Linked DNA regions of Coturnix japonica. The protein of the gene in region 1 purifies or fractionates together with the protein of each later gene. This does not show direct contact. Links are inferred from orthologs where the notes say so. Each region holds a gene or a part of one and is shown on either strand. Other genes may lie near its edges.

Region 1 (3,500 bases):
TTAATTGCTCAACTGTTTTGATGCTTAATTTGCTGTTGTCCTGAAGCAAGAACAGGACCAAAGAGAGTAAAAATAGTGGAACATGTTACTAGCATGATAAAAATATGACTAAACTCACACCAGATATGCCCACTTTCTTCCATCTCTTCTATGTTCCCTATTATGTCCTCAGTTCTGGACAGTAACAGTGAAGGTATGCACAAGGTTTAAGATTACCAATCAAGTCAGAGAACACCACACTGAACACAGTCATTCTACACACACAGATGATGTAGCACAATGTAATTCCCATAAATTAGGGTTAATGAAAATTGAGCATGAACACAAGACAGCATCTGCAGAGTTTCTGCACTCAAACCTGAACCATAAAAGTCAAATTCATGACGTGAGCCAGTAAAACATGTCAGAGACATTAATAGACTTGTATCTGCCATTCACCACTGTTCAGCAAGGGCATATGTTTAGCTACAATACTGTTTCCATTCACCAAGGATGATGGGAATAATCACATGTAAAGATAGGAATGTGTTACTTCAGGATTTGTAAAAGGACATAATTTTAATGGTTTTTTTTTTTTGCTTTTTTTGTACAACTACAAATGATTGTTCTGAATTTTGTAAAACATCGTTTCCTTCAATTCTTCTATGCTTAAAGGAGGCAAAAGTGAAAAAAGTAAATATGAAGCAAATACGTCATTATAAGCTGTTTATACAAATATTCTCATTGCAGTGAAAAAATGAAACGTTCTCTGTCTTTTCACAAAGACTCCATTTATATTCATTTTTTGTTATTTTCACCTAAAGCAGTAGTTAATCACGACAACAAGCAACAGTGCTACTATTTGCACCGGGTAAAAGAAAAGTTATTGAGCAAAATAGAAGTGTATCCTCAACGTTACCTGTCGCATTAACTCCTCCTGGCGCATCCTTATTCGTTCCCTCTCCATTTGGATTCGCTGGAGCCTCAGTTTCTGCTGCTGCTGCTGCTGCGCCGTCAGTGCATTGGGCATGTTCAATAGGCCTGGCTGTGGAGTCTGGGAAGGACAGCTTTGCTGTGAGATGGATGTGTTGCCTGTTATTTGGTGCTGGTGATTCATAACTGCAGGAAAGAAATCACAGGTGTGCTCAGTGAGTGGCGGGGGGGGCACATAAGTCTGAGGTGGGAGTACAGTGGGACACAGGTGATCAAAGAGATATCTCAAACCAGATGGGGATGTGCTCTGCAAGAAAATGCACAATGCATTTGTCTTCCTAAGTAACCAATACCCATGCTGAAATCCTATTTTCCTGGAAACAGCTTCACATCTGCCTGCTGATATGAAGTAGTGAAGGAATTCATCCTTTTGCTTTGCTTGCATGCACAGTTTTGACATTACCTCCACTTTACCTTTAAATAAAACATACCAGTTCTCAGAAATGCAATATCCTTTGTGAACCACAGGGTGAATTGTTCCTCATTTCCTCCCCTGCCTTCACATTTCCAGGAAAAAAACAAGTATGGTGCCTGAAATCAGTTTGAATGATAAGTGGTAGCCACATACCGCTTTAAAAATTCACTGACATTTTTGCAAGTATTCTTTCACTAATGAGGTGACAGCATAACTAAGAAAGCATCTCTTTTTTAACAACAACACCCTAGATAATAAAGTACTTCTCAGAAGAGCTACTTTATCTTTCTTCCCAAGGAACTGAGATTTGTTTCTTTCTTGTCTCTCACTCACTGCTCTTACCATATGAAAACTGAAATCTCAACACAGTTCTCTGCTTCTCAGAACTTGATCTTTATGCTGAGTTCGCATCTAACACTGTAGGATGCAGTACAGCAAGAACTCTTGGAAGTGTGCACTGAAAGAGATGGGTTGATAATTTCAGAGTCTGAAAGCTCTCCGAGCTTTCTGCCAAATCAGGTATTGTCTGTCATTCTGCAATTGGAGGTATGCAGGCATTGGGCCAGGATACATTTTGCCATGCTTCATTAGGCTGAAATATTCATACGTGCTTACATCAGATCTGAACTGAATTTTCACAGAATAACAGAGTGAATCATAGAAATGATTTGGGTTGGAAGGGACCTTCAAGATCATCTAGTTCCAACTCTTCTTCTGTAGGCAGGGACACTCCTCACTAGACCAGGTTGTTCACAGTCCCATCCAGCCTGGCCTTGAGTGTTACCACAGAGGGGACATCCACAGCCTCTCTGGGAAACCCGTGCCAGTGTGTCACCACCCTCATAGTAAAGTACCTTCTCCTGATATCTAGTCTAAAACTACCCTCTTCCATTTTAAAGCTATTTCCTCCTGTCCTGTCTCTACATGCCTTCATAAGAAATCCCTCTCCATCTTTCCTGTGGGTCCCCTTCAGGTCCTGGAAGGCTGCTTAGGCTCAAGAGCATCAGCTCCCTCAGCCTGTCCTCACAGGGGATGTGCTCCAGCCCTCTGATTTTCTTTGTGGCCCTCCTCTGGACCCACTCCAACATCTTTCTTTCTGGATGACCCAGTATCACATAGGTCCTAGCACTGTGGGGTCATCTGAGAGCGCAGTTATGATATTTTAGCTTCAGTGGCAAATTCAGCTCGAGAAATAATCCAAGCTAAAAGAAGCCCTGCAGTAATGTAACCTTTCCACTGACTTAGGGTATGTGGTCCACAGACAGCTGTATCCACAAAAATGACATCATGCTTCCTCATGAAACAGGGGTATTGACTGTTACCACCTCTTCCATGCTCAGCTGCTTGCTCCTGCCCACAAGTCATCCTTTTACTGGGCTGGCCAACACATTTCTGTAGCTGTATAACAAACTAAAAATTGCCTGAAGCTAGAAAGGTATTTTCTAGTTAGACAGGTTCCTAACAAAAGCACTGGGTAGCTGTGAAAATGTTTATGCTCAGTGAACACAGGAGAACAGATGGGAGAAATAAACTGTTTTCAGGGAAGAGGAAAGATGGACAAATCCAGCTTTTCACTGGCAAATCTCTAAAGGACAGCAAACTGCGGCGCCAAGAAGGAAAGGTAGGAATGAGAGATGGGTGCAAGAATCAAACTACTTTTGTAATGGAAAGCTTTGAAACACAGAGGATCTAGTCTCATTCTAATTAAAATAATTAAGAAATATTATAAGTACAATTATATGAAGAATATCAGTGTAAATCTGGTGTTAAATTTCCAGTACCATAAACACTTCAGCAGGAATTTAACTCTTTTCACATGTGTAAACATGAGTTTAGATCTTTGGCATGTCAGTGGTTGGTTGACTGACAGGACAGCTACACTTACAATCCAGGCTGGCTGAGGGATTACACCACAATACAGTCAGTCTTACATATAAACACTGTTTTCATCTAAGCAGCACATACAAATTATAGAACCAGGCAAAGTTAAGTGAAGTCTAATAGCGTGTATGGTGAATCAGGGCTAGAGCCTGAGTTGTAATACCACTTGCCATGCTACCTACTGCCTTTGCTTTAAAACACTCCCCCTTTATCAGCAGATCTGCACCAGATC
Region 2 (3,500 bases), on another chromosome or scaffold:
AGCAGGGCAGTTCTGCAGCTCTCATGTCAGCAGCAAAAGAGAAGCTGGACCCAAACCTTTGTGTATGTTCTTTAGGCCCTCAGTGCTCAAATTCTGCCTTAACAATCCAATTAATGCTCTCCACATATAAAACAGTCTTCCAGTAGCTACAAACAAGACTCGGTCTTCAGCTACAGCCAACAGCACGAGCCTCTTGGAGCACTCAGGCCAGGCAGGCAGACACATCTACTCTTTCTTCACCATGGAAATGCACTCCTGTGCTCCCCACAGCATTCTTCCACTTAAAGCTCACAGCACCCAAAGGACCTGTGATGGCTCTTCCCTTGAAGAATTTAACACATGGAAGTACTGTTGTATAGCAGTGCATTCTACATGGCCTGTACATTTATCTCAATACACTACTCTGAGGAGTGTATGTGTGTATAGTTCTTGCTCACCAGTCCATTCTGCACAGCATTTTCTTGCTTTAAAAAGAGATGCAGAACAGTGTTTCTTCATTGTCTCTGGAAGGACTATAAAAAGTCTTTTCACTATTAAAGGATCCCTGGAAAAGATAGTAACTGCCTACAAAATGTTAAGCAAAAAAACCCCAAAGCATGAGGTTTAAGACAAATGATACTGTCTTAATTTATATGCTCTGCTTGGAAGATTTTAGATACCCATCAAGAAATGGTATTTGGGACTGTATGTAACTGGCAGAGCTGCACCCCATCAGCACGCCAGCATAAAATTAGAAACTCAGAACTTGAACAATTCCACAGAGCAAACAAAATGCTATGAGTCAAAAGAGAACAGTCCAGAGCCATTCTTCAGAAAGGAGTCCCAAGCCAACATCGTTCCCATTGGCAGCATATGAATCAGTGCCAGGTAGTTAAAAGAGACACTCCACTGTTTCTGTGAGAGTGAAGATGGGAAACGTGGAGGCACTTATCCTGCAGTGATGGATCTGAAGTCTCTGCAGAAATGCGTAGGACTTCAATTCTACATGAGAGTGTCTGCTCCACATTAAACCATCACTTAAGGAGGCCAGGGTTGGGGGGGCAGGGAACAGCTCACTGTTCTAATAGCCAACAGTTTCATTAGCCCTCACTGATGAAAGGCTCAGCTCACTCCAAGTTCTCCATTTTAGGTAAAGCTGCACAGGCTGACTAGACTCACCATTCAGTTATTTCCATCTATTCTTCCCCCCTTTCTGAAGGGAGAAAATAGCAAGGCCCTACAGCTCATTATACATCTAAGTTTCACAGTTGAGACGTCCAGAATATCTTAATATTCCCTGTTCCTACAAACACAAGAGTGCTTAAACTTAATGGTAACAAACCCAGAGTCCAGATCTTCTTAGCTAAATGGCACTACACTACAGCACCAACTACATCTTACCATTTGCCGATATTCCCGAATCATTTTTAATTTATCTTCTCCTCCTTTGTTTTCTTCTTTCTGTTCAATGCTGCTGATTATTCTCCAGGAAGCTCTTCTGGCTCCAATCACGTTTTTATATGCAACAGAAAGCAGGTTTCTTTCTTCCACTGTCAACTCCACATCCATTCCAGCCACTTTCTTCATTGATTCAACCATTTCTAGGAAGAAAAGGTCACGCAGTTATTCTCAGTATTAAAGCATCTTTCAAACCATTCACGAGAAGCAGCGCATTAATGATAACTTGTCAAAATAGGCTCCCTCCTCCTTTCATCCAGTTACACCTTGCTTTTATAGAGGAATGCTCCAAACAAGTCAGCGAGCACATACACAAAGAACTACCTGATGCTCTTTCAAATGCATTTGACAAGGGTACCCAAAACATTCCTTCAAGACAGTTTGAGACACAAACAAAACCAGCTTAGCAGAAGGATTCCATAGAAGCAAAGCAGAAAGAACACTGTCGTTATGGAAGCAAGTTGAAGTTCCACGAGGAAACCACCAGAAGAAAAATCAACTGCTTGGAGAAGTGACAGGAGAGTCCTCCTGAGGATAAGCAGAGCAGCACCACCCAGCCATGCCAAGCAACTATTTGCACTGGAAAAATAACACAGTAAATGTAATTTGTATTTATAGATTAAACCGTTTAGAAAAGACTCCCAAACCTCAGGTGAAAAAAAAAAAATGATTACTAAATACAGCTTTTCTACGTCCCAGTGAAAGTAAAAACCTAAATTACTTAAAGGTTTTAATCCTTTCATTACCTCATCACATTATGATTTCCTATGACCTAACAGAAACATAAAGGCTGAAATTATTACATATCTGCTGAGAGAGCTTAGTCTGAGATACCCGGAAGCCCTACGTTACCTCCTGCTAACAAGTGCTTCACTCATTCAACCTTTACCTTTCAGCTTCTAGAGCAGATGAGAACCCCACAGACAGGAAAGCCATTAACGAGCAAGACTGAGCCCCCTGCAGCCCCTAACCCTATCTACCTCACATCCTCATCCTCCCCTACCCCCAAACCTTCACATGTTCTGCTGCATAATGGCAGTAAGAAAGAAGATGCAAGTGAATCTGAATTGTCTTTCCCTTCCCCCATCAGGTGCCCAAACTCATCACCTTCACAGGAAAGAAGCCATTTCAGTAATAGAACTACAGCCTCAATTTTCTCCCTTGCAGGAATGGTGTTATCAGTCTCCAGCAGGTTGCCACATATGCAGGACAATTTAATAGCAGCTCTGTTCTCATCAGGAGTAAAAAACAGCCCTACCTCTACCAGTACATTCTGCTGCTCCAGCTCATGAAGTAACAATAAGTGATACTTGGGTAAGTGTTTTCCACACCCTACAATTTAAAATGAACTCTTTTTGATGAAGATTTCAGAAAGTCATCCTAAACTGCTCTTTAAATATACTTAGTGTAAGTACACAGTCTCATAATTTAAACTAACCTAAAAGCAGTGCTATATAGTTACAGCAAACAACTTGAACAGTGCATGCTCTAGGATTTCTTTCCTAAAGGGTGACCCATCCATCTATTCAAATCATCTCAAAACTTTGATCTTTTTTTCCTTAAATCATGAGTTATGTTCTCAGATTTTCATGTTACTTATGCAGCATTCAAGTACATTCAAGGCAGTCTGCCTGCCACAGTGTTTGCTCTTGTGAAGGACGACCAACACGAATGAAGACTCGCAGTCCCAGCTAGTTGGATATCTGTGCCAAGCTCCAGCAAGAACCATAAGGCTTGTATTTTAGCTTAATGTTTAACTGCCCTCAGATAAGAAAAGTAATTGAAACTGTGCCACAGCTTCAGCGATGAACCCGTAGCTGTGACTGCACAGCCCTCCTTTCACTCCTTGAAATGAAAGGAGTCATATGAGTTCATGAGCAGAAGAAATACCCCCTAGAAAGTAATGCAGATAACAGGGGAGGTGGTGATGCTGTGCTCATCTTTCATGCTCATTTCCAGGCATCCACCATCACTCTGAAGATCTTTGAATGTGACCGCCACCCTTCACCCAAACTTGTACTGTCTAAACCTTTGTATCTCTTTATACATCAGTGTGACATACG
Region 3 (3,500 bases), on another chromosome or scaffold:
GATTCAAGACGTGCTCCAGAACAGCATTTTCATGGCAAAATGTCACTGTGAACACCCCCTGCAGAAACCTGCCAGCTCATCTGCCTTTTTTCTCAAGCCTCTAACAGCATCAAAGTGGTCAATCGTGCCATGTCACTGTGATTACAAACATCAGATCCACTGTGCAACTGACCCAAACTTAAGAAACACAAATTCCTCCCCACGTTATGTTGGCCAAGACAAAGGGGGTAAGGCAATGAGTAAATCAGCCAGGCTCAGACATGAGCGATTTACACCCATGCTGTAGCATAAAGGAGTGCTAGGCCCAGCCTGTAAATGATTTTGCACACTGATGCAGCTTGATTTAATTTGCCTGGTCTTGTGCCTCAGTGCCTCCTCCCTTAGCCAAGCGGTTCTCTTGAATCAGCTTGCTGCAGAGCGAGAAGAATGGTCACCACTTCAGCGGGAAGGAATAAAGCTGATGCCTCTTGGCAAAACACTCCTTCCTGGTGACAACTGCCCAGGGTCAGGCCATCTGCATCCCCTTGTTAGGCAGCAGCTGCTCTACTCGCTCTGCAGAAACCCTTCTTCCTTCTAGGCAGCAGTAATAGCTGATTTAATTATTGATGATGATGGACAGTGGAGGAGTTCTTCAGGGGGAACTCATGGGCACCACATGTCAAGAATACTTGGATAAAACCCTTCTTTTACGGCAATAGAACCACTCCTGTCCTTTTACAGGACATTGCAGTTACTGTCCAATCACGATGAGGAATACCGATAGACCCAGCTAAGTATTCAAACTGCATGCTCACATTACGTCCAGTGTCATCTTTGAGATCATTTTTACCTGTGCGAGTGTGAGGTACAGTGTACTGTTATTTATCTTGAGATGTAGGTGTATGTTCTGGACGGGGAACGAGTGGATTCTGCTTGGGCAGCTGGGTCATTCAGAAAATCCCAGATGAGGATGGTGTCATCGTGTGAGCTGCTGACAATCTGGAACTCGTCAAACTGAAGTCGAAAAACTCTTCCAGAATGCTCCTAAATGGAAGACATGGCGTGTTAATTCACAAATTCCAGCATTGTATCAATTTCTCAGTCAGTAAACTCCATACAACACACTGCCCAGACCTATCACTAAACCACCCTTGGTGAAACAAGTTTGCCATATCAGTGTTCTTGGCTCACAAGGAATTTTACATTACATTTGTAGTATTATTCCTTCAGTCCCTATGAATGCACTGTGCAGAACAAACCAAGACCCCTCCACTATACAAGGCAGCCTTGCGAGGCTGATGGGAGCAAATCCTGCCTTGTTCTTTGGCTCCCTCCTGAAATCACGGTGTTCCCAGATGCTGAAGGTTACAGGGGGATTAGGATTTTGCAGTCAAGGCTTGGCAACACTGCTCCTGCTCAAGAGGGAAAAGCTTAACACTGGAGGACACTAAGGAGCCTGTTGTAAAGAAGTCCAGTGACACAGTAATAATTCCTCTTAAGCAGTTCTAAAAATATGAACTAGAAAGCGCATTCTTTATAGGCAGCTTGCATTCTGCTCTGAGGCTGAGTGGAAATGGCATGACGACTTGGCAAGAGTTCAGACTGTAATTAACAGGAGGTAACAGAAAGATCCTGAATATCACAAAGCAAATCCAGAAGGCTTTCCCTTTTGCACTGGCTGCTTTTTCTTGGTGCTTACTGCCACAGGAGCGAGCAGCAGCCTCCTCAGGAAGAAGGGAACAGAGACCATGCAGTTGGGACAAGCCCTCTCTCTCTAATACACATCCCTCTGTGGCCCAGGGTCAGAAAAAAAAATGCTCAGAAGCATTTTACAGCTTTTTCAAATATTTGGACAAAAGAGAAGCTTCTAAAACGGAAGGCTGTGTCTTATGGCACAGGACTCTGAAAATACAGCTTGGTTTAAAAACACGGAGAGAACAGAACAGCTGCCTTATAGGGAGCCTCTGAAGCTCTAAATCAAATACACACAATCCAAAATCAGATTCTATTTTGATGACAATTTTATTATAGAGCCCAATCATTGGGACCTTCCTGGTCTTCTGACCCAATAACCCTAGTGCACCTTACAAGCACTTCATGGGTTTACTCAGTACTAAAAAGAAAAGCATTTCCAGACCCTGTATCCCTGTATTGTATCAGTGAAGTAAAGCAATTCTTGCTAAAAAATATCACTACAATGGCCAGATCCACTGATAGACCCTTAGCAGATGCACCAAGAGAGAAGTGTTTCTACAAACTATTTTGAAAAGCCTTTTTCCTCTCAGCCACTGTAGGCTAAGACTGCCCTAGAAGTTCCATGCAGCCATCCCCATTGCATTTGCAGTGACAATAAGCAGACTGCACACCCTAAGCTGAGGCTGCAGGAAGCCGGGCCCTTCAGCTCAGAAGGAGAGTTGTGCTGTTTGCTTTTTCTGTGCCTGGAAAGCTTCTGTGACACTCGTGTGGCTGCTGTTCCAGCTAACGGGAGGGACCTGGCACGCAGAGAGCATTTGTTATCTGTGCACTTTCCTCCTACTGTTTGAAAATTGAACACGAGCAGCGGGAGACTCACGATGTTCATTGTGCAGCCAGGTTTAATTTTGGAGGCCGAGAGAAGAGAGGGGGAAAAAAAAACCACCACAACTATGGGTAAGCGGGTATAAGGACGCCCTGTTGTCATAAACATGAAAAGCCCTAAAAGCACTACGACAGCCTCCTCTGCCCCTCCTCTTCTGGCCTCCTCCATCGCTATCAAACAGGGATTTATGAGTATCCATGTGTCGAGATTCCTACAGTGTTTCCATCCCACCGCTTCTGATTTATAATACAATTAGTTGGGGCACTTTGGCTGTCCACTGCTGGAAAATGCAGAGGAAATCGCACCAGTTAAATTAAGTCTACAGGTTACTAGGCACACATTTGTCTCGGGCTGGAGCAGAAACACCACTAATATCACACTGAAGTCTTGGACTCTCGGGATACGTGTTCATGGGCACAGAGCTGTTCCACAGTTTGCAGCTGGGTGGCTGATGACAAAAAGGTTTTCTGGATTTCAGCCATGAAACTATTTGTAGTTCTCTGTGGCTACCAAGGAGGTTTTTCAACACAGCATCTGCAGGCATCCAAGGCTCTCACTGACTCTTACTCTGCAGCTTATGGTACAAATATAGGATTGGAGAAGAGCTAGTGTGGCTTAATGACCTACTGCCTGTCAACCCTCAGAGCCTGTGCAAAATGTGAAGCAAAATACTTTAGTGAAATTTGGGTGGTAGATGAGGGTGCAGGTGAAAATGAAAAGGTTGTTTTTGTGTGTTTATTTTCCCCATCAGATTTTGGAATTTACCGCTTTTCTTTAAGAAACTCCCTGCCAACAGCTCATGGAAAAAGGCACAGTTAAGCAAAGCCACCAACACATGAATTCCAAGCACAAGTCTCAAAAATGACTTAGTTCTTAACTTCAAATCAAGAAGCCAGATCTCTAGAAATGACTTTTAGATCCTGCAGGCTGGTGCTAAACTGAC

What was found. The genes of interacting proteins can lie anywhere in the genome.
Region 2: the proteins of WWTR1 (region 1) and YWHAE purify together in Homo sapiens (co-immunoprecipitation; 5 studies listed by BioGRID and IntAct, with this or other methods). This does not show direct contact. The link is inferred for Coturnix japonica from reciprocal best matches to the Homo sapiens genes WWTR1 and YWHAE.
Region 3: the proteins of WWTR1 (region 1) and BTRC purify together in Homo sapiens (affinity purification with western blotting; 8 studies listed by BioGRID and IntAct, counting the BioPlex papers as one, with this or other methods). This does not show direct contact. The link is inferred for Coturnix japonica from reciprocal best matches to the Homo sapiens genes WWTR1 and BTRC.

What each region holds. Positions count from the first base shown.
Region 1 is NC_029524.1:21,181,945-21,185,444, reverse strand, and holds part of WWTR1 (WW domain-containing transcription regulator protein 1), read right to left. Parts: intron 1,099-3,500; coding exon 899-1,098; intron 1-898. UniProt on the Homo sapiens protein: Transcriptional coactivator which acts as a downstream regulatory target in the Hippo signaling pathway that plays a pivotal role in organ size control and tumor suppression by restricting proliferation and promoting apoptosis.
Region 2 is NC_029534.1:3,997,534-4,001,033, reverse strand, and holds part of YWHAE (14-3-3 protein epsilon), read right to left. Parts: intron 1,581-3,500; coding exon 1,381-1,580; intron 1-1,380. UniProt on the Homo sapiens protein: Adapter protein implicated in the regulation of a large spectrum of both general and specialized signaling pathways. Binds to a large number of partners, usually by recognition of a phosphoserine or phosphothreonine motif.
Region 3 is NC_029521.1:19,976,710-19,980,209, forward strand, and holds part of BTRC (F-box/WD repeat-containing protein 1A), read right to left. Parts: intron 1,024-3,500; coding exon 862-1,023; 3' UTR 830-861; intron 1-829. UniProt on the Homo sapiens protein: Substrate recognition component of a SCF (SKP1-CUL1-F-box protein) E3 ubiquitin-protein ligase complex which mediates the ubiquitination and subsequent proteasomal degradation of target proteins. Recognizes and binds to phosphorylated target proteins.